4 linked regions of the Oryctolagus cuniculus genome follow. The protein of the gene in region 4 interacts with the protein of the main gene of each other region in a pairwise test. Links are inferred from orthologs where the notes say so. Each region holds a gene or a part of one and is shown on either strand. Other genes may lie near its edges.

What was found.
Region 1: the proteins of RCHY1 (region 4) and KLHL41 interact in binary tests that used the Homo sapiens proteins (3 or more experiments, as listed by UniProt). The two-hybrid records come from large-scale screens. The link is inferred for Oryctolagus cuniculus from reciprocal best matches to the Homo sapiens genes RCHY1 and KLHL41.
Region 2: the proteins of RCHY1 (region 4) and GORAB interact in a two-hybrid assay, tested with the Homo sapiens proteins (3 studies listed by BioGRID and IntAct). The link is inferred for Oryctolagus cuniculus from reciprocal best matches to the Homo sapiens genes RCHY1 and GORAB.
Region 3: the proteins of RCHY1 (region 4) and AIG1 interact in binary tests that used the Homo sapiens proteins (3 or more experiments, as listed by UniProt). The link is inferred for Oryctolagus cuniculus from reciprocal best matches to the Homo sapiens genes RCHY1 and AIG1.

What each region holds. Positions count from the first base shown.
Region 1 is NC_091434.1:71,567,333-71,573,102, forward strand, and holds part of KLHL41 (kelch-like protein 41), read right to left. Parts: intron 2,052-5,770; coding exon 1,866-2,051; intron 312-1,865; coding exon 165-311; intron 1-164. UniProt on the Homo sapiens protein: Involved in skeletal muscle development and differentiation. Regulates proliferation and differentiation of myoblasts and plays a role in myofibril assembly by promoting lateral fusion of adjacent thin fibrils into mature, wide myofibrils.
Region 2 is NC_091438.1:28,442,615-28,448,384, reverse strand, and holds part of GORAB (RAB6-interacting golgin), read right to left. Parts: intron 2,985-5,770; coding exon 2,844-2,984; intron 1-2,843.
Region 3 is NC_091436.1:25,489,223-25,494,992, forward strand, and holds part of AIG1 (androgen-induced gene 1 protein), read right to left. Parts: intron 4,223-5,770; coding exon 4,067-4,222; intron 1-4,066. UniProt on the Homo sapiens protein: Hydrolyzes bioactive fatty-acid esters of hydroxy-fatty acids (FAHFAs), but not other major classes of lipids. Show a preference for FAHFAs with branching distal from the carboxylate head group of the lipids.
Region 4 is NC_091439.1:90,386,126-90,392,444, reverse strand, and holds the start of RCHY1 (RING finger and CHY zinc finger domain-containing protein 1), read right to left. Parts: upstream 4,127-6,319; 5' UTR 3,718-4,126; coding exon 3,628-3,717; intron 1-3,627. Other genes in the region: THAP6 (THAP domain-containing protein 6), read left to right, coding at 4,780-4,859, 6,008-6,215. UniProt on the Homo sapiens protein: E3 ubiquitin-protein ligase that mediates ubiquitination of target proteins, including p53/TP53, TP73, HDAC1 and CDKN1B. Mediates ubiquitination and degradation of p53/TP53; preferentially acts on tetrameric p53/TP53.

The sequences.
Region 1 (5,770 bases), on a different chromosome or scaffold from region 4:
AAGTATGTGGCAGGTACAATTATATTTGAAGTGTCTGGTCTATAACCAAGAAGTAGCCTGCATATTGGAAAAGTCTGGCTTATTATTTGCTACAGAATTATTGCTCAATTTTCATTTATCTGATTTAATATCTGGTTCTGAAAATGAGAGTGAAGAGAACTTACTTCCATATGTCATTGACTTCAGTGGGTGCAAACTCTTTAGATTCCAGTTGAATCATAGCAAAACCACCGATGGCATACAGAGATCCAGCCAGGCTGACCAAACTGATGGAGCTTCTTTCTTGGGGAAATTCAGTCATTACTTCCCATCTGGGTATTATTGAAAATATAGTGAATGTAAAACTTAACATATTAAATGTATTTACTGAACAGGAAATACTTTAAAAATTCAAGTAGCATAAGCATCTAAAAGTAGAAGTTTACAACTAGAAAATATTTTAAAATTCCTTAAATTTGAAAGATGTAATAATCATATTAAATAGAAAGCTTTCAATAGATCACACTTAGAATATTTCATGATTTAGCACCTTCAGCAGTGGTTGCCAAACTATTTGTCATAAACAGTGGGGTTCTGTGGCCCACATTTGAATACTAATACAAACATTTAAAAACTCTTAATTTCAAGCTTTTCTCAAGAACTCTCCAATCCTTTGCAATAAAGGTATATGATAAAGATAGTTTTGAAGCTACGGATGGAGATGGTAAATTTACTTTTAATGACTTGTACTTTACAATATAAAGGTTTTAGGAGAACTTTTTAATGTTAACAGCCATCTGAAATAGGACAACTGAAGATAAAATCAACCACATTGGCTGGAAGTTTCAAGAACTGGGAATGAGTTAGTCATGTGGTAGCTCTCCACTGCATTACCCCAGAACTATAGTTCTAAAGAACTAAAAACCTCATAGTTTTTCTTTAAACCTATTTTTATTAACCATAAAAATAATACATATACACTATAAAAATCTAGGAAGTACAGAAAGTTATAGAAGAAAACAAATACCCTCATTATCATAGTTTCCAGATATAATCATAAGTAACATTTTGGTATAGCTTGTCTTTTTATTAAAAAAAAAAGGATATAGGTATCCAAACATATGAAGAACTCTAGGAACAGAGGATTTACAATTTTGTGCTGCTTCTTTAACTTTTTATATTATGAGTGCTTAACTAATATACAGTCTTAAAATATGTTTTAGTGCTCTTTTAGGTTCTATTACATAAAAGTTGCTTGTGACTTTCAGTTATTATTTTGTAGTCAGACATACATAGTTTCTAAAAAAACTAGTAACAGTACTCTGATTTTTAACTTATTGCTAAACTATGAAAGTATATACTCATCTAGATGTGTGGGCACAAAGATTCTGAAAAAATTAATTTTATATAAGAATACCAAGTATTTTTCATAGTGTTGCTAAAAGCTTAAAAAACAAGCTTTAAAAAACATCTAAAAAACATAAAGAAACCAAACTTCTGAAGCATTCATACTTAATATCAGTCATTAATAAGATATTCTCATCTTTAATGAAACTACATATTTCCAATTGAATAACTCCACAGAGACATGTATATCCATCTACATGAACACAGTTATTCAGAAGTGTTACCTTAGCATGACTCCATTCACACAGTTAACACAAGTAAGGACGAGCAAGGCATGCCAGCATCAACTTGAGGGTCACACTCGGTGCATCCAAATGTTAGGAGTTTTACTCTCAGTTGCCACAGAAGAAACCCTCATGAAAATACTCCCCTTAAATTGATGACTCCCTGCCCCTAGCCCTGCCACATGCTAACTGAAAGCTTAATTTTTATCAGGTAACAACTGAAATGCACAGTGACTGTGAGATTCAGCAACTCACTTATTGGTTGTGAGGTCAAAAGCTTCCACTGCAGCTGAAAGACCATCCTCAGTGACACCCCCTGCGACCACGATCTTGCCTTTGTGGACCGCCACTCCAAACATGGAACGCGGGGTTTTCATCGGAGCCAGGTCTTTCCAGTCGCCTTTTTTGGGGTTGTAGATGAACACTCTGTTGGTACACTTTCTGTAATCAGAAAAGAAAACAAATATCCATTTTAAAATATTTTTTGAAAGCAACTTCAGTAGTAAGTTGGCATTGGTTCTCCTATAAAGTATGTAGTGTGACAGAGGACCAGAAAAACTCCACAGAGTTCTTAACGTGAACATTTGCTGCTAGGTAAAGGACAATCCAAATGTGGAAAGCAAAACTATTTTATAAAGTAATTAGCTGGGGGGCTGGTGCTGTGGTATAGCGGGTCAATCTGCCACCTGCAGTGTTGGCATCCCATGTGGGTGCTAGTTTGAGTCCCAGCAGCTCCTTTTCTGATCCAGCTCTTCGCTATGGCCTGGGAAAGCAAGTGTTTGGGTCCCTGAACCCTTACAAGAGACCCTGAAGAAGCTCCTGGCTCCTGGCTTCATATTGGCCCAGCTCTAGGTGTTGCGGCCATTTGGGAAGTGACCCAGCAGATGAAAGACCTCTCTCTCTCTCTCTCTCTGCCTCTGCCTCTCTGTGACTCTGCCTTTCAAATAAGTAAGTCTTAAAAATAAGTAAATAATTATTCTACTTCTAGGCAACCACTTAGGAGTTCAGGAACAGCAGATTCTAATTCTATCTGCTAATAAATTCAATGGAAAACTTTGTTTTTATGCTAGTTGGGTGGGAAAAAAATCACAAATCCTTTATTATGCCTCAGTAATAAGAAATATTAATTTATTAATTTCATTATTTGAATGTTTTAGGAATGAATAAGTTAACTTAAAAATAATCAGGTGGGAGGCTGGCAGTATGGCACAGCTAGCCACAGCTTATGACACTGGCATCCCACATGTGAGTGCCAGCTTGAGTATTTGCTGGTCTGCTTCCCATTTAGTTTCCTGCTATTGTGCCTGGGAAGTCAATGGATGATGGCCCAAGTGCTTGGGTCCCTGCCACCCACCCAACAGGGGAGAATCTGGATGGAGTTCTGGGCTTCTGGCTTCCCTGGGGCCATTTGGGGAATGAACCAACAGATGGAAGATCTCTGTGTCACTCTGTCAAATAAATATTTAAAAATAATAGTAATAGGCAGATGAACACATGCCTATTTTACACTTAACTAATACAATCTCTCATTTTATTTACCATTAATACACAGATGCATTTTAAGAAATGTTGGATATACATTAGACAATGTAGGCATCTGTGCTGATGAGTGATGAGAAGAGTTTTATGTACTAAATGCTCTCAGAAAACCCTGGATTCATCTGAATTATTATTCTTAGTAAAGTTACCCATTACTTAGTGATGAGAGTTCAGAATTCCAAATAATGATTTAACTCTATATATAACAAAGAAATGCTCCAAGTTTTTGTGAGGACAGCTGTTTCTTTCTTCCTTTCTTCCTTTCTCTCTCTCTCTCTCTCTTTCTTTCTTTTGAAAGTCAGAGTTACACAGAGAGAGAAGGAGAGGCGGCGGGGTGGGGGGTGGTGGGTCTTCCATTCCGCTGCTTCACTCCTCAAATGACCATAATGGCCAGAACTGAGCTGATCCAAAGCCAGGAGCCAGGAGCTTCTTTCAGGTCTCCCACCCAGGTGCAGGGCCCCAAGGACTTGGCCCATCCTCTATTGCTTTCCCAGGCCATAGCAGAAAACTGGATCAGAAGAGGAGCAGCTAGACTCGAACTGGCATCCATATGGGGTGCCGGCACTGCAGGCTGGAGCCTTAACCCGCTATGCCACAGTGCTGGCCCCAGGACAGCTGTTTCTTAATCTTATAAAAGGCCAGGTACCTGCAACAGAGGCATTCCCTAATACTAACTATGGGTATCACTTGAAAACTTCTTGGGGCTGGTGTTGTGGCATAGCAGGTTAAGCCACCACCTGGAATGCCAGCATTCCATATTGGCACCAGTTTGAGTCCCAGCTACTCTACTTCCAATCCAGCTCCCTGCTAGTGTGCCTGGGAAAGCAGTGGAGGATGATGGCCCAAGTGCCTGCACCCACGTGGGAAATCCAGATGGAGTTCCAGGCTCCTGGCTTTGGTTTGGCTCAGCCCCAGCCATGTGCCCATTTGGGGAGTGAACCGGAAGATGGAAGATCTCTCCCTCTCTCTTTGTAATTCTGCTTTTCAAATAAATCTTTAAAAAACAAAAACTTCTTGATAAGAACATGATACAAAAGAATGTTCTTCAAATACGTTAGCTATAATTTGTGCAATTCAGTCTTTACTTTTAGATAATGACTCACTCAAAGTTCTTGATGTTGACATTTGTCAAGCAATGTTGTCTTGGTTAATCATACTGTCAAGATTAATATATTCTCATGACAAGAACCGCATGCTTCTTTCTGACATATCATTTTCCTAGTTACTAATGCTACTCGAAGGAAACAATTTAAATCATTTTTGGAAGGGCTCCTGGGTTTCTAAAGTCAGAACACTGCTTAATGGAGATTTTCTATGCCACTTACTCAGGAAATATGCCCAAAATAAGATCTGGCACTAGGTGGTTTATAATATACCTTTGTTTAAATATTCATTTGATGGGAATAGCTGGGATTAAGGAAGATACCAAAATTTCAGAATATATTATTTTTGAATATCAACAGATTGTATGAAAATCGTTGCTTTAAAAATTTGAGAGACAGAGAAACAGGGAGAAAGTGTGAGAGAGGGAGAGAAAGAGCTCTCAACCACTGTTTTACTCCTCAAGTGCCTGCAGTGTCCAGGGGGCTGGTCTAGTCTGAAGCTGGGAGCTGGCAACTCAGTCCAGATGTCCCATGCAGGTGGCAGGAACTCAATTAATTGAGCCATCCCTGCAGCTTCCCAGGGTCTGATCAGTTGGAAGCTGGAATCAGGAGTCAACCTTTTCCAAGACTGGACATCCATGGTAATTAAACAGCCTGGGCAAATGATGACAAGCCAAACTGAGCAGTTTTCAGGGGCAAGAGATGCGATTTCACTTGCTAAACCACAAATGCTTGTTTTAGCAGAAAGCCTACTAGTTAAACTGCCTGACTTCTGGAGTACTGCGAATGCACTTTTCCGAGTTATAAGATCTCTTTCTCAATTATCTATCTCTTGAGAAGCGCCTAGGTATCAAATTAGCCATATACATGAAACTTCATCCAGGTATTTTGACAAGAGCCTGGGCACTAGTGGCAACAGCAGCGATTATGTGTTCTGGTTGATTAGTGCCTGTTTTTGAGCAGTTATTAAATATATTGAATATCCTGTCAGGGAGTGAATACGTAAAACATCGCTGAAGAAGTAACTGTCCTCTTTCCAGTCACTGTACTTTTCAGTTTCAAACTGACCAATCTAAATTCCCTTTTATGAACATAAAGTACAAATCCATGATACTTTTAGTGCACTATTATTTTAGTAGATATATTTTAAATGCCATATTAAAAAGTACATTAAAGTTTTTAATCTACTTATGGCTAAGTGAATAAGAAAACCAGTTAGGTTCTATATAGTAAATAGGAGACTAGATTGTGATCCTAGTGCTCTTAGATGCTGCTTTTCCAACATAAGAAAATTTATTATTGAGCTTACCTAGCATGCCTAGTGTCTACACATTTACTCTTGCAACTTCTGAATTTCATAATTTTCCCTTTGGAAACCATTTGTAATATCTTACGGTAACTTTTCAAACCGCTATTTTTGAAATTTTACCTCCAATATATAGTGAATGGGAATCAAGTCCTATTTCAGTATATAGATTTACATGAAAAGAGGAAGAAACTCTTGTAATAAAAATCATT
Region 2 (5,770 bases), on a different chromosome or scaffold from region 4:
CCTAAATTCAAGAAACAATGAGTGAAATGTATAATTCTAAGTATAAAAAGGAAATGACAATTTCATACAGTTAGTGATTTTAAGAAGAGAAATTTAATCACCCAATATTTTACAAATACGGGGACCTCCCTGGGATGCTAAAAGGATGAAACAATATTCTCTCAACATTTTATGTATGGGAGTCAAACTACTTGATACAAAAAGGTTTATTATTCTTACATTTCTGTATGCTGTTTTCCACAATACCACTTATTTCCAGTTTTGTAAATTATTAATAAAATGACTTAAAATATTTGCCTCTGTGTGTGGGGGAGGACAGGGTGTTATCTATTTAACCTAGAGGATAAATAGGGATAATTATTTTTCCCAGTATACTGAGAGTTCAACAAAATATTCTACATGCAGCCACTCTCACAGGCAGGTCTGCACAGCATATGACAACATTGTAGACATGGCTATAAGCAGCAGCCTCATGCTGGTCTCATCAGAGGGGTCTATCCTAACATCGCTCCACAGAAAACAATTTTAAAGTGAATTCGGCATATTTACTATTCAAGAACCTTTTGTGGACACTGCATTATACCAGGTACTACAGAACTAAGGTATCACTTTTATTAAAAAGAAATGAAGTTCCTACAGAAACTGGAGATTACCTCACACTAAAAACTGGATCATATTATATTACCAATATGCAATTTTTCAATAACCATAAATGTAAATTCAGAAAATGTTGCCCTAAACTTATGCTTGAAACAAACCCAACCCTAGTTCTAATCACAATTATCTATGGTTTCTCTTTGACCTAAGACAAGAGCTTAGGCTTTTAACAACAGCCTCATATAGTATCCAATTCTATCCAACTACACATACATTAAGTATCAATACCATGAGAAATTGTCATCTATAGATTATTAAAGATGCAAAAAATATATTTTTGCTATGTAAAAATATGTCAAAATTTCGTTAAGAATATTCATACATTATGGTATATATTTTGCTTTAACTAGTAATTCCACCTTCTCTGTGGTTCTCTGAAGGCCTAAACCAAGGCATTTTTATATAACATTCAATATGCAAAGGCATCCTTCTCCAGTTTCCACTAGGATAGAATTAAAATGTTAATCATATTATTTTTCTGTTGAGGTACTCAGCACTGGTTCTTGTACTATGAACTATTCATATAAAAGGCTGGCAAGGCATAAAAATGCTCCTCTGGCTAACTTATGTTACAGAAAATAAAAGTGTAAAAAATCAAAGCTTACTTTAATCTTAAAATCTTGGTTACCTTCTTAATGACATTATTAATAAAAATCTGGAACTTCTAGTTATGAGCTACTGATGGCATTACTTTAGGTTGTTAATTAATAAAGACAATTCATTAAGTCAAACAGCATATGGCCATACAACAATTCTAAAAATCACAAGGACAACCACAGACCTTTTTCTTAAACACCAAACAGTGAATTAAAAACCACAATCAAGCATTTCCGCTTTATTAAATTGTTATATAAACATTCTGATGTTGTGGTTTACCCTGGACTAATGAGGCATTCTGATTGATTTCTAGTGTTACAGAGAAAGATGCAAAACTGAGTTATTAACACAGCATTTTCTTGTGAAAAAAGACAAACCCAGATGATTAAAGCAATGTTGAAGGGACAAAAACCCTGAAATAGTACATTTTTTTGCCCTTTTATCTGTTTGCAAAGTCCATGTAATTCTTTACATGTGTCAGTTCATTTAAAAATACTCCATGATGAGTTTTTTCTCTTTGAAAAAATGCCAATGGTTGAAACCAAGGAAACATATAATATCAAACCATTTTGTACATACTATGGGTGAAATGGAAAACATAAGGGAAAGAAACTGTGGGGCTGATGTCGTGTCATAGTAGGTTAAGCCTCCACCTGCAGCACCAGCATCCCATACGGGTGCTAGTTCGAGTCCTGGCTGTTCCACTTCTGCTCCAGCTCCCTGCTAATAGCCTAGAAAAACAGTGGCTGGCTTTGGATTGGCCCAGCTCCAGCCATTGGAGCCATTTGGGGAGTGAACCATTGGATGCAAGCTCGCTCTCTCTTTCTGTAACTCTGCCTCTCAAATAAATAAAATAAATCTTTAAAAAAAAACCTGCAAGTTCCAAGAGAGGTATTTTCTTTAAAATATTCATAAACTTTTAAAAACTAACCTATATGGCCCAAGTCCTTGGGCCCCTACACCCATGTGGGGGACCCAGAAGAAGCTCCTGGCTCCTGGCTTCGAATCAGCACAGCTTCAGCCTTTGTGGCTATCTGGGGAGTGAACCACCGATGGAAGACCTCTCTCTCCGCCTCTGCCTCTCTGTAACTCTTTCAAATAAATAAAATAAGCAAGCAAGCAAGCCTAGGTTTTCTTACTATGCTGAAGACTAAAATGAGAAAAGTTCCAATCCCATAAAGATCATATCAAATAATCAAAAATTTTAATGGAAACAGCATAAACGTGGTGATAGAGTAACAGAGTTTTGGGTGCAAGTCATTCAGACATTTACACTGATAAATCCTGAAAGACTAAAGAGAAAGTCTCAAACATTCAATTTCTGATAGTTTACCAACAAAGATTGAAATGTAAATAAATAATATAAGAAATGCTTTAACAAGCATATGAACAAGGTTAACTGGTAGAGTTAAGGAAGGCTACACAGAGGAAAAAGATACTTGAATGAGAACCACAGAGGAGTAAGTGCCACACCTACGGAGGCTGATACGAGGCTTAAATGATGATATACGTTAAAGCTACTGGTCCAGCTAGCAATATGAATTATTTAAGTCAGATTCCTTACTCTGAATTCAATCTTCCCAACTCACCGGGCATATGAATAGTCGAGACTGGCCTGATCAATGCGGTTCCTAAGGATTCCAATGTCAGCTGATACCATGTCATCCAAAGCCTGCAACTCTTTCTGGATCCGCTTTAGTTTCATAGTCTCTGCCTGAGTTCTTTTAGATCTAGAGAATAGCAAGGTGAGTGGAAAAAATAAAAATGTTAACATCATGTATCCAAAGACAATGTAAGTAAAAAAAGTAAGTCACTGTGTATATAATTCTGAATTTTTAAAAATTAGAAAAATCAGAAAAACTAAACACTGGTAACATTTTGGTATATCTCAAAGACTGCATTTGAGCTTTTCCCCAAATATACCAAATTTTCTATTAGTGCCCATTTTTTTGTTTAGGATTTATTTATTTACTTGAAAGGCAGAGTTAGAGAGAGAGAGAGGTGGTAAGACAGAAAGATAGAGAGAGGATCTCCTCAAAACCAGGAGCTTCTTCTGGGTCTCCCACGTGGGTAAAGGGTCCCAAGTAGTTGGGCCATACTCCATTGCTTTCCTAGGCAATTAGCAGGAGTGGGATTGGAAGTGCAGCAGCCAGGACTCAAATTGGTACCCATTTGGGATGCTGGCATCACAGGTGCCAGCTTTACCTGCTATGACACAATGCCAGCCCAGCACCTATTATTTTCATGAACAAGGTGAAAAAAATTACCAAAACACAACTCACTTTTGTGCATTTATTCAATCAGTAAGAACAAATTCTGGGGGCTGGTGCTGTGGCACAGTAGGTTAATCCTCCGCCTGCAGTGCCAGCATCCCATATGGGTGCCGGTTCGCATCCCGGCTGCTCTACTTCCAATCCGGCTTTCAGCTTATGGCCTGGGAAAGCAGTAAAAGATGGTCCAAGTACCTCAGCCCCTGTACCCCTGTGGGAAATCCAGATGAAGCTCCTGGCTCTTGGCTTCGGATCAACCCAGCTCTGGCCGCTGCAGCCATCTGGGGAGTGAACCAGTGGATGGAAGACCTTTCTGTCTTTCCCACTCACTGTAACTCTAACTCTCAAATAAATAAATACAAAATTAAAAAAAAATAACAAACTCTGGCAAAAATGTGTCTATATTCCCTTTGTACTGACACATCCAACACAGCTTTCCAAAGATCTATCTTACATTCCTCTTCTTGCTAAGCCTGTTTTCATTTTGATACTTAAAGATAATCAAGAACAGATACCAGGGACTGAGTTGTGGCTTAGTGGGTTAAGTTGCTAGCTGTGAGGTCAACATCCCATATTGGCATTGGTTTGTTTCTGGTTGTTCCACTTATAATCCAGCTCCCTATTAACATGTAGGGGAAAGCAGAGGAGGACAGTACAAGTATTTGAGACCCTGAACTCATGTGGGAGACCAGGATGACGCTCTTGGCTCCTGGCTTCAGCCTGGCCCAGCCCTGGCCATTGAGGTCTTTTGCAAAGTGAACCAGCAGACAGAATATCGCTGTCTGTCTCCCTCTCTCTGTAACTCTGCCTTTCAAATAAATAAATAAATCTTTAAAAAAAAATACCTGCATTAAACATTTCTATATAGAGCAAAAAAACCTCTATTTGGTTTTTGGGACCCATTTGCCCAAACCTTTTTTACTTTTTTAAGATTTATTTATTTGAAAGGCAGAGCTAGAGAGAGAGAGAGAGAGAAAGAGAGAGAGAGAGAGAGAGAGAGAGAGAGAGACAGACAGCAAGATCTTCCATCCACTGGTTCACTCCCCAAATGACCACAATGGCCAGAGATGGACTAATCCAAAGCCAGGATTCCTCTGGGTCTCCCATGTAAGTGCAGGGGCCCATGCACTTAGGCCATCCTCCACTGTCTTCTCAGGCTCATTAGCAGGGAGCTGGATTGGAAGCAGAGCAGCAGGGACTCAAACCAGCACCCATATGGGATGCCAGTGCAGCAGGCAGAGGCTTAAACCACTGTACCACAGCACCGGCCCCCGATTTTCCCAAACTTTCAATGCTGTTACTCTTATTCTCAAAACAAGACTAGTGATCCTCAAAACTCTTTGTGGGGCTCAAAATCAAAATACTCTTCTCTCCTTGTTTAAAAGTACAGCCAACCTCATCAACTCTCAGTGCCCTGACCACTTCCAAGTAAAATATACATGTAAGAAAGAGAATAAGCAAAGACAAAAGCAAACCTTTAATCATGACTTCACTTACTTCAAAATTTCACAGGCACTCTCAGGGAGAGCAAAACTTCCTACATAAAACCAGTATCTTGTACCTTACATTCTCCTGGTTTCTATTCCATTATGCATTTACCCTTTCTTTCTGCCTATAAATTTCTTACCAATATAATGCTTTCACTTGAAGTGCCTCACTGCCCACCCACTTAACAATCCAATCATGAATTTCCTTATATTTCTGTCCATGGCAGTGCGTTCTTAGATCTAAAGCACCTAGGGAAGAAGCGCTGAGTCTTTAAATTTTTTTTTGTAAAATCCCCAGTAAACAGCCTCCCAATCTCTTCCAAATTCCAAATTGAAAACTACTAAAATGCTTTCTCATAATCACGTATGGGAGAAAAAAAAAATACGGAATGACTCATTTTTTTTCTTGAAACACAGAAAGACACTGAATCGTACATTTCCTATGCTTCATGTAACCTCAAGGTATACTAGGAGCAAAAAAAAAAAATGAATCATTTTCAATACATACCTCCTTCTGGCAGGTGATTCTCAATTATTTCATACCCATCCTCCTTCCACCTACCTCTACCCCTGAACATACACATACTCTAGCCTTAAAGAAAGGTTTTGCCAGAATTTTTTGACTTTGAAAAGAAAATGCCATTGAATACTCACCTGCATGTAGTTTCCAGTACTGTCATTTCTTGACTAACCAAGCTTAGTTTCCTAAGGCTACAGGAGATTTAGAAATTACAAACCAAATGGTGGTAGGGGGTGGAA
Region 3 (5,770 bases), on a different chromosome or scaffold from region 4:
AACTGCACGTGGTAAGAAGAGCCTCCCTTGAGTGATCCCTGCAAAATGAGTTGCAAGGCACTGGGAGTGGTGGTGGTTTCCGGCCATTAGCGTTACTAATCAAGGCCAGCTTTGCATTTATGGGAATCTACAGAAATCAGGATGATACATGTGATGCTCACTCAAGCAACCCTGCCTGATGCCTTCAAGGTTATGCAGAAACAAAACTTTACTCCAATTATCTCTGATTGGAATGCTTCATGATTTTTTATATATCCTTGAAATAAAGAGAGCCCAGGAAATAGATACATTAGGTCTGCGGGTCACAGAATCATATTTAGTACTGCAAGCTCACATAAAGCAATTACCGTCAACTTTCAATTAACCTCGGTACTGAAGGAAGATGTAGTGTAGAAAGCACAAAACCTAGATAACCTACCCGGGTCTGTCTTTGCTGCCTTGGTTGCAACTGAGGTGAGACAGAGATAATGGGAGCCCCAGGAAAATTTGCTCGGGGCTAAGAGGCTCTTCAGAGAACCCTGAGCAGAGGTGATAAATTCAGCCACCATTCTTTGCTCTCTTTCTATGCCCACAGCCTTTCTGCCCCACATCATAAAGCAAAAATAACCTTGTTTTCCCGGTAAACTTCCGATTGACAAGCAGAAAATGTGAAGTGGAGGAAGCCACTCAGCGAATCTGGCAGTCCCCTGGCAGAGCAGGGGAGACTTCTGGGGCCCCAGATTGCTCGGAGCTGAGGCTGTGCACTGTCTACCTGAGGATGTTCAAGCCACACCCAGTATTCCACTGGGTGTTTGTTTCCATAGGATTTCAACTGCACCACCCGAAATAGTAAGAGATGTTGATTTGTAAATGTTATCATTAATCATCTGCACACATGATAAAGCGTTCTCTACTGCAGATTCCCACAGGCATTACAACGCTGCATCCATCCAGTCCTGGGCATCACTGCTATTCTCATCCTTCTGACGTGATCAGCCCTCCAGGCCGGGCAACTTCCTTCTTGGCCAGGAGGCACAGGAATCATAAAAAGGATGCCTCGTCAAGCAATTTGGCTTTGCACCAGGAATGGTTTGGCACTTTAATAAGGAAGGAAGTCTCAAGTCATATGAATAAACTTCCAGTGGGATTCTAAACCTTTTTGAGCAGTACAGGACACAGAAAAAGGAACACAGGGACATGTGGACACCTTTCAAGCTACAGCAAATATACAGACTCAACAGAAAGGAAAGCTGGAGATAACCTCAGAGAAAGGGCAAGAATTCACACAAGTACATGTTTTCATTAAAAAAAATCTTGAGGCTAAAATACTTATTAAATAGCCACATTCAAATCTTCTATAGACATAACTTAGAAATAAAATGAATGAGATCTTAAAAGAAGGCATTTGTTGAGATTGGTTAATTTTTTTTCACTCAAAATGAATTTCTATGTACTGGAGGGAGAAATCTGATGTAAATTGGGAATATATACATATATAAAGTGAAATGACAGAGTAAGAAGGAAACAGGAGAAACCATGGAAAATGCAGTATTTCTAGAGAATATTGACCAAAGTTCTTCTTAATAGGAGAGACAGAGATAGAGAACAGAAAGAAATGTAGCCAAGGAACTTCTAAAAGTTCAGAAAAAATAACAGGATAGAGACTGTAAAAGGAAAAGTAACTCACACATCACAAACGATTGTGAAAAATGGAAATAATGACCGTGAAATATCAGTGAGCAAAGAAAAGTGAGCTAAAGAAATCAGCAAAGTTGCACACCTCTGATTCAACACTGTTGATTCTTCCATTTCTTCTATGAATTTAAAGAAAACAGTTCACCTCCTGCGAGCTAGGCAGCATGGCAGGCCCCAGGGAGCAATGCTGCAAAAACCAGTCCTGCTGTCAGGAAACGCACACACACCTGTCATGGAAATGTGGCTTCTGGTTAAAAACGAGGGTGAGGAAGAAAGGTATTTTTATTCCTCTCTCTTATTCTAAAACAGAATCAAAACAACACCCAGTAAAAAATGAAGGAAAACATCAGATGTAATGAAACAAGAAAAAAATAAATAAAGGCACCACTCACTTTACAAACTATGAAACACAGGTGGGCTAAATGAAGAAAGGACACAAAAGTTGACGGATACCTCAAGTCTCAAGCACAAAAAGGTGCAAAAGTTTACCGTAAATGAAATGTCATTAACATCTAATGAGCCACTGAAGACAGCTGCAAGGTTCATAATGTAAGACAGAGTCTTCTTGTAGAAACACAGTTTGATACCATATTCATACACACACACACAACTTGAAATTTCTAGATAACTCTCTTACACAAAAAGCATGTCCTGGAGCCGGCAGTTTGGCACAGAATGAGGGTTAAGCCACCACTTGTGACCCTGGCATCCCATACTGCAGTGCCAGCTAGAGCCTCAGTTGTTGTTCTTCCAATACAGCTCCCTGCTAATGCAACTAAGGAAGGCAGTGGAATATGGCTCACTTGCTTGGGCCGCTGCCACCTATGTGGGAGACCAGATGGAGTTTCTGGTTTCTGGCTTCTGGCTTTGCCCTGGCCCATTTGGGGAGTGAATCAGTGAATAAAAGTTCTCTTTCTATGTCTGTGTCTGTCTGTCTCTCTCTCTCTGATGCTCTGCCTTTCAAGTAAATAAGTCTTCTAAAGAAAAAAAAAGAAGAAAACATATCTTTACACATTAAGCCAGTGGAAATTTTTTCTTAGATAACCATTCTGATGGAAACAATTTGAATTTTATTAGGTAAGTTAAAAAAATAGTAACTAGTCCATAGAGCATTGGATCCTGCTATTTTAAACAGAGAGTTCTGCTAGATGGTTTCAATCACCCATTTATTTGGGTTTTCAGAAGAATGAAGCTATGAGAAGAAGAGTATCACCAGATCACAATGCTTCCCTACCCTTTTGTTGATCTCAAGAGTTAAGAGCTATTTCACCAAGAAAATACAGCTCAACACACTAAAATGGCAACTGAGTGACAACGTGAGTGCCTACTAACTGGTGGTCTTCATGCAGCAAGTGTGGGAAAGCTCCTGCCAGCTACAGACCTGGAAAATATGAATAAAAGCTACTGGAAAGAGTAGGAGAACAATTTTCTGACTCTTCCCACCATGAGTGTTGGAACTGGCACAGATGCAAGACCATGTGACTGGTGCTTCCATTTTCCAAGAAATCAATGGGTGGATGAAAGGTCTGATTTTGAATTATGTAACAAATTCTGACTTGTCCTCATGATTTGAGACATACAAGAATTCTCTTATTCTTCTCCTGGCTACACATAGATAAAAATCTATATAGTCTCATGGGCCCTTTAAAGCATCTCGTTCACATGCAGACAGTGGAAAATTCATAGACTCATGAAGGAGATTGGACTATGGGATGGAAATCTAACAGAAAACAATGAAAATCAATAAAATTATAGATCCAAACATTAAGCAGCATTTACTTCAGTGACATTAGCTAATGGTACAGTTGAGTGAGTGAAGAAGTATGAAATAACATTAATTTCTTCTCCCAAGTTCAAAAACGCTAGAATGATCAGCCAAGGACCATACACTTCAAGTCTGAGCTGCTTGGGAAACAGATAGGAGCTGAACTGTGTCCCCTGCAAAATTCATATGTTGAAATCTTATACCCCAGAACCTTAGACTGTGACTGTGTTTGGAGAAAGGGCCTTTAAAGAGACAATCAAGGTTAAATGAGGCCACTGGAGTGGGGAGGAAGGCAGCCTAACTCACTATGACTGTTCTCCTTGTAATAAGAGAAAATGAGGGCACAGTCAGGCACAGAAGGAAGAAAATGTGGAGACACAGTGAGAGGACACCCTTTCCAAGTCAGAGCGAGAGAGGCCTCAGAAGAACCAACCCTGCCAACACCTTGATGTCCGACTTCCAGCCCCAGAACTTCTGGTCTCTGTTGTTTACACCACCCAATCTGTGGTCCTTTGCTACAGCAGTCCCAGAAGACTAACAGACAAATCTCCTGTTTTTCTCATACAAGTCTGAAACAACACTCAAGTTCCTTTTGTGGCTGAATGCATTCAAAGTGTTCATACTCACAACGCCCACAGGAAAGGCCACCACGGCTAACATCCAGTCACGAAGAGAGATGAGCTTCTTGAGCTGTCTCTCCTGTTCTTGGCTCCCACTGCCTCTGGTCAGGAGACTGGAAAGATCAGTCAGCACACAGATGCCGAAAAAGACAGCCTGGATAACCTGTGGGAAACAAAAGTGGGACTCAGTCAGTGAACTCTCAAGAGGGCCAAGTGCAGAACATGCTGTATGTTCACACTGGGTGCATAGTAAGAAAAGATAAAAATCACATTTACAGAACTGGCCCGACCAACAAAAAATCCTGAGATATTTACAACTTGCTAGTATAGGTGAGAAAACTCATCTTTAAAACACTACTTCCATTTTCACTCACCTCCAGACAAGTGAAAAACATGCACCCATCTAAAGAGGCCCAACAGAAAGCAGTATCAATGGTCAAGTTGGCACAGCCATTATTTTAAAGTATCACATTTATGGCTTTTATTATACTTATATTGAATACATTAACTAGTGAGGTGTAACACAATACATGAGACAATTCAATCTAAAAGTGAAGAAACCTTTCCTATGCTTTCATCTCTTAGATTTAGACAATGCTTCCCAACAACAAAGTGGTAGAATGCTGATGCTCCAGTCATAAAGAAACCAACTGAACACAATAATCGGCATTCTAATACTGAGCAATTTCTATTATCAAACTTGAATGAAATGACCTCCCCTCAAGATTTCAGTATTTGTGAAATAAAATTGTTCTAAAGCAAATGTAGATGTCTTTCATATGTTTCAGAAAAAGTTATCAGTTGCTTAGTCTCAAATCAATTGCAGATTGAGTCACTTGCATCAGTTATGTTTTCCTTGGATGATCAAAAAGGTGAGAAACACTGATACACCAAAGACCAATAATTTGTGAGATTCCTAAAGTGGAGGAAAACTGACAATCTAGAGCAGTGAGTGCAGGCAGGCAGCATACTGTAATATAGCTAGTCAACTGATCATTCAAATATGGAAAGGGCAGAAGACACAGCGTACTTTAAAAAGTTCATGGGAAAATGAAACTAAAGTAAGCTTATTTTGGTGCAAAAAAACAATTTGAAATCCCTACATAAAGGGATCTTCAAAAAATGTCATGGAAAGTGCATATTATGCATAAACTATGCATGGATTTAAACACATTTTTGTACCAAAATAAACTTATTTTTAATGTCAATATTTTCCACAAACTTTTTGAAGTACCCTCTTATAATATTTCCTGGACTCAAAACCATACCCATTTGGCACCAAAAATGGATTTAAGAGGAATTTTCTGGCTGTTTTTTCTGGAAATAAGTTACAGATGAGATATTTATAAAAGATGTAGTTCTACTCATTACTTCTTTAGAAAACACAACAAGTATGTTTTTTGTACATTTCCACATTGGCAGTGGAAAACTGATGAAAGCTCTGTGGCTGGGCTCTTCATGTAGGCACAGAACAAAGGGACAGGGGTCCTAAACAGTATCAGATCCCACACCATAGCACAGCACTGGAACACCTCAACTGTTAATCTAGACCTTTTGGAGCTCACCAAATTCTGTGATTATTAGTTAATCTTAGCCACAGTAATAACACATCTTTCCTTATAACCTAGCCTGTCCTTAGTTTCAATGATTTAAAGTTTATTGTCATTCTTAAAGACACCCAGAAAAACCTGAATAGGAAAAGCTGAGACTA
Region 4 (6,319 bases):
AAAGTTAAAATTTTTAAAGACTTTCATACAAGTATGGATTTTCTTTAATATTACATCAAAATTCAACAATTCTTACTACTTAGAACATGGAATCTAAAATGCAATCAATGACCCTTTTTTTGTCTGTTACATTAAAACTGACTAATCTATCTCACATTTCAAATACATCTTTTAACCTGCATTTGTCATTTGGAAAATGCCAGTACCCTGAATTATGTAGGCCCTCCAAATGTTCATACATTCACATACAATATGAAAAAAATCATTCACTTGAAGTCTTTAGGACTAGGAAGACAATCTCAATAGAAAAGGCTTCTGGTCTTGAGAAATTTTCAAGTTCAGAGAAGCTAATAAAATTTTCCAAAATTTTAATTTTTACAAGAAAGCTTCAACTCAATCACCTGCAATAAACAGTCTTGCTTCCCTCCTTTCCAAGAAAATGTCTGCCAAATATATCCAAGTCTGAATGACTTTCTTCAAGTAAAAAATGCTACTCCTTGAAAAGAACCATCAGTTCCCTTCACAATCCAACTGCACAAGAGGTCTGCCTCAAAACAACCATCTCATTTCAATCTGCTGAAGTACTTGAGGAAAAAGTCCCATTTGGTTCCACAGGGCATTAAAGAGAGTTGATAAAATACTGTCACTGCTTCACTAACAACATTGTAAGAGAAACTGCCCTTTTTTAAAATTCACGTATTTATTTGAAAGGCAGAGTGACAGAGATCAAGAGATCTTCTGTCCACTAGTTCACTGGCCCTTTTTGTTAAAACAACAGGTGTAGCACAGTTCAGTGCCACTGATTTGAGTTATACAAAGGTGTTAGCAGTTTTAGGCACTGATTTTCACCATCACACTGAAAAGGACAGATAATATATCAGCATTGATAGAAAGCAGTTTTGACCTCACAGACACCCTGAAGGGGCCTCAGCGACCCACGGGGACCACTGACCACTTGAACTGCTGCTCCAGTTTCAAGCAGGAAACTTCTCTGCCACCTCTCTTTTCAACTCGATCCCAGTCCTCCCTTGCATACAGCCCAGTTCCCTCCTGGCTTCCTCTGCATAGTTACTGTACCAAAGTCCTCCGGAACCTAAACCGAGTTAAACCCAACTCTCTTCAGCCTTTCTCAGGAACAGCTGAATATGGCTAGAGAAAAAGCATCAGCATACTGCCTGGTCAACCTATCGCAAAAAAGCCTCATCCTCTGCCTTCACTTCTTTCACAAAGAATGTACAGTCCCGGCTTCTAAGGCCAATTGTTTGTGCACAGGATCTCAGCCTCTCTAGCTACTCAAGGCCCGTGCCCCTAGTTTACCCTCTCCCTCCTCCACTACAAAATGTTCTCACTTCTTCTAAGAAAAAACAAACATGTTGTAACACCTCCATCCTTAAAGGGGGGAGGGATCCCATAATCTCACATCTCCCAGCAACCAAGGTCTCACTGTTTTTTTTCTTGCTCTCCTTTATAGCAAAAGGACTGTCTGTAATTCCAGTTTCACTTCTCATGGCATCTCTTGAGTCCACACCAATGAGGCTTACCCCCGTCACTCCACCGCCACGCCTCTTCAATATCACCAGGGACCTCCTTGCCAAATTCAAACTTCAGTTCTCAGCTTTTATCTTACTTAAGCAATGCATTTGATCTAGTTCATAACTCTTGTCTTGAAACACTTTATTTGGCCTCCCATGTTTAGAAGCGAGGAGGGGCCGGCGCCAAGGCTCACTAGGCTAATCCTCCGCCTTGCGGCGCCGGCACACCGGGTTCTAGTCCCGGCCGGGGCGCCGGATTCTGTCCCGGTTGCCCCTCTTCCAGGCCAGCTCTCTGCTGTGGCCAGGCAGGGCAGTGGAGGATGGCCCAAGTGCTTGGGCCCTGCACCCCATGGGAGACCAGGAGAAGCACCTGGCTCCTGCCTTCGGATCGGCGCGGTGCGCCGGCCGCAGCGTGCCAGCCGTGGCGGCCATTGGAGGGTGAACCAACGGCAAAGGAAGACCTTTCTCTCTGTCTCTTTCTCTCACTATCCACTCTGCCTGTCAAAAAAAAAAAAAAAAAGAAGGGAGGAGGAAGGCAAAAAAGTGACACTCGGGGCCAACTATCTGAATGCCATGAAACAGATCTAGTTCTGTGGTTTCTTCAGAGGGGACAGAAGAGTCTAAGATATCAAATTCGTTTTAGATCTCAAGTTTGAAAGAGTAATAGAACATCTCCCGGGCAGGCGCTGTGGCACAGTGGGTTAAAGCCCTGTCCTGAAGCGCCTGCATCCCATATGGGCGCCGGTTCTAGTCTGGCCTGCTCCACTTCCAATCCAGCTCTCTGCTGTGGCCTGGGATAGCAGAAGATGGCCCAAGTCCTTGGGCCCCTGCACCCACGTGGGAGACACAGAAAAAGCTCCTGGCTTTGGATCGGCACAGCTCCAGCCATTGTGGCCATCTGAAGAGTGAACCAGCGGATGGAAGACCTCTCTCTCTCTGTCTCTACCTCTATCAGTAACTCTGTCTTTCAAATAAATAAAGTAAATCTTTTTTTAAAAAGAGTAAAAGAATATCTCAACAGAAATGGAAAGTAAGGATAGCATTCCATTTCCTTACACAACATTTGAACGGCCCCATCCAACACAACGGAACGTTTCCCTAACCATGGCCTACAGAAAAGAGTTTATGTGGTTCGTCCCAGCCTGAGACTACCACCTGTATCTAATGACTCCAGTCAATGACCATCGGCACGGCTGGCTGGTGAAGTGGAACCACCAAAGAATTCAGGACGGCGACTGGGTGATGACAACAGCGGTGGTGCTAGGTCTACATTTACACTCATCCCAGGCAAAGCACCCTGCTAAAACACCATATATGCTCTTTAGTTTATAACCCTCATACTTGTTTATGAAGCGGAACTTCTATCATTCCTGTGGAGCATAAGAGGTATTTAAAACACCAGCTTGCTCCAAATCACAGCGATTAATGGGAACGTCTTCAGATTTGGAGACAGGGCCGTGCAACTCCAACCCTCAACCTTTCTAAGCAAAAGCTACCACTTCTTGCAAGAAAAATCGGGACACTTCAATTGGATGGGTGCCAATTCAAAAACCTCCGGATTATTCAAACAGCAAAAGTCGCCATATATACACACGACGCACTTTTCCATACGTAATGTTCCATTTCACAGCGCTCACACTTCCGACTTCACACACATATTTTCTCCTTCACAGCTCTGGATATTTGCATGGCCTCTCAAATGAAGCTAGCAGGCTCTGAACTATTACCACAGGAGCTGAACTCGTTTTCCAGTCTCCCGTTTCCCACCCTCCTCTCATTATTTCATCACACGCCGGAAGTGGGCCCAGGGGCTACCTCAGTCTACTTCCAGCAGCAAGAGACGAATAAACCCATTGGGAAACGGATTTGCACAAGCCGACCCTCATCCCAAGCAAAAGAGTTTCTGCTTGCAAAAGACCACACAGGGAAGAAATACGGGGCCTATGGTCGCCTGGCCAAAACATTTCAGGTAGCGAGGTAGCCCGACAAACAACCTAGCTTCAAACTCCAAACCCAAGCCTCACCGCCCTGCCCACCCCGCCCCCAGCCCTGCCCGGCGGAAGCTCGTCGGAGATGAGCCCATTGAAGCCGTCACCTTCAAGAGACATCCTCTGTCATAGTGCTCGCAGCCCCGCTGCCCTCGCTGCCGGCTGCGGGCGCCATCTTCCCGCGCCGTCGCCGCCATCTCCACCACCTCCCCTCACACACCACAGACCCTTCCCCCAGGATGCAAACCACGCCCAGAGAAGCAGCGCCGCTCGGGCGCACCCCCTCCCGGCCGCTGCTGCCACCGGGGCCAAGATGGCGGAGGGGCACGTGACCCGGGGCAGGCCGATTTCCGGTTCCCGGGGCGACGGGGCGGAAGCGAGGGGAGACGCAATATCTGTCGTCGATGGTAGTCGCTGTCTTCGCTGCGAACGGTAATTACTCTTATGTCGCTGCTGCTTTGCTCCGCATCGCTGCCGGCCCGAATTCTGGAGCACGTCTCGGAGCGAGGAGGACTGCAGCGGCGCGCAGACGCCAGCTGGCCCTCGAGGAAGGGGACCGGCACCTGTGACAGGGCGGCCCCTCCCTCCCTCGGGCGGCCGGGAGCCTCGAGAAGGGGGCGGAGCGCCGCCAGGCCTGGAGCTCGGGAGCCGGGCCGTGCGCGCGCCGGCGCCGCGACCTGCTGCTTGCTCCCGTCCCCTTCGGCTCTGCTCGCTCTTGCTTCAGTCATTCATTCAGTGTATTCACGTTGACTGTGGGCCCCGTCCGCGGCTGAGCCGTGAGGACGAAAAAGTGAAAGCATAGACGGCCCCACCGCCCCCTCACGCAGCGCCCGGCCGGGCGGGGAGGAAAACTTTGGTCAGAGTCGCGGGGGTAAATGTAGAATGACGGCCAAGTGCGAGGGAGAAGCGGGGGCCTGGGAGGCCCGAGGTGCCAGGCACTGACCGGAGCCGGGTGCCCGGGTAGGCGGCCAGGCGAGCCGCGGTTAGCGCGCCAGGAGGTCTTGGGGGGCGCGGGGCTGGCCGTGTGCAAGGCTCCAGAAGTGCAGGTAGACCCCTCACCTTATGAAAGCGCCAAGCCCCCGGAACATTTGATGCGCAGAGCTGCAGGGCTTGGAAGGGAACATTGGCCTTCGGCTTTGTCGCGTTGTTACATGTGTCCTAAAACGTCCTGGGAGAGGTGAGGAGGCTCCCAGGCTGCTCTGAAGTCACTAACTTCGCGTATTCCTGTTCTTTCAGTTCCTTGATGAGCTGCTAAAATCATGGTGAAATGTTGCTCTGCCATTGGATGCGCTTCCCGCTGCTTGCCAAATTCCAAATTGAAGGGACTGACGTTTCACGTGTAAGATTCGGCCATGGTTAAGCAGAGTGCTGTTGACGGATAGAAAGCCAAGATCGTTCTGTTGAAGTATTCAGTTTTGAACTTGAGTGCCCAAGTGCTTTTAAAATCACCTTTTCAGTTAAACTTGAAGTGACAGTGACAACCTTACACTTTTGCAATGTAGTTTAAGATACCTGCCAAGGTTTTCAAGAGACTAGTTAACAAAATATATATATATCCAAATCAATTTGCTAATATTACTTTGCATTTTAACATACCTTCAAGGAAATTCAGTGTGGCTTATATGTAGTTGACAATCTGAAGGAAGCTGCTTTGCTCAAATATATACTGTCTTTTCTGTTTAGAAATAGACCAAGGATAGGTTGTAGGAAAATAAATTACATGTTCGACCGAGGGTTGTTTAGCTGCATTACAGGTAAGTCCAGATGATCCTAATTTAGTGTTTTAGCTATACTCCTCACAACCGCAGGAGAGAATGAGCAATAAGATTTTAAAATGATTCATTTCCTGAAGATTTATTTTGCCACTTACGTGTCAGGCACTGTGCTATCTGCTAGAGATTTGCTACCCACATGTACCCTACTGTATTCCAAAAAAGATCTGAACCAGCTTGGAAAATTTAGAAATTTATTGGCGTCCAGATCTCTCAAAAAAGGTCTGATCCCCAGAACTCCAAACTCTGCAACTTCTCAGTCACCAAGCATTTGTAGACCTGCTGTATATTAAATGCTGGACTAAGAAATTTTCTTGTGCTACAGAAAAATGAAAGTACAAGGAGCCCTATTCACCAGAGAGAAAATCTGGAAATCACTTCAGATAGGAAAAGGCTAAGGGACATTCTTTATCACTTATGGATTAAGAAAAACCTTTCAACTGTGGATCTTAATATAAAGTGCTGAATATCCATTGAAATTTTTCTTCCTTAGGCGAAGAATTGAAATGAGGGCTACAGTCTACAGCATAATTGGCAGAAAATCTGAACATTAAAATTGAGATTTATGAAAACATAAAACATAGTTCCCTGAATATTTCAGTTCCCAAGAGTGGTAACAAACTAGTGAAGGAATTAATTCAGCCTTAGCCAGTTATATAAGACAGATTTAATTCAAGTATATCCATACTGTTTAATTTTTAATATTCTTTTCTAGATTCCCCACAGATGAAAACATCAAAAGAAAATGGGTATTGGCAATGAAAAGACTTGATGTGAATGCTGCAGGCATTTGGGAACCTAAAAAAGGAGATGTGTTATGCTCAAGGCACTTTAAGAAGTCAGATTTTGATAGAAGTACTCCAAATATTAAGTTGAAACCTGGAGTCATACCATCTATCTTTGATTCTTCATTTCACTTAAAGGTTTGTTTATGAGATTCTGCTTACCATCATTACTCACTTTTTGGGTGCTGTTAAAGAACCTTCACCACTCTGCTAACATTTTTATTGTTTGCTGTTCATCTGAA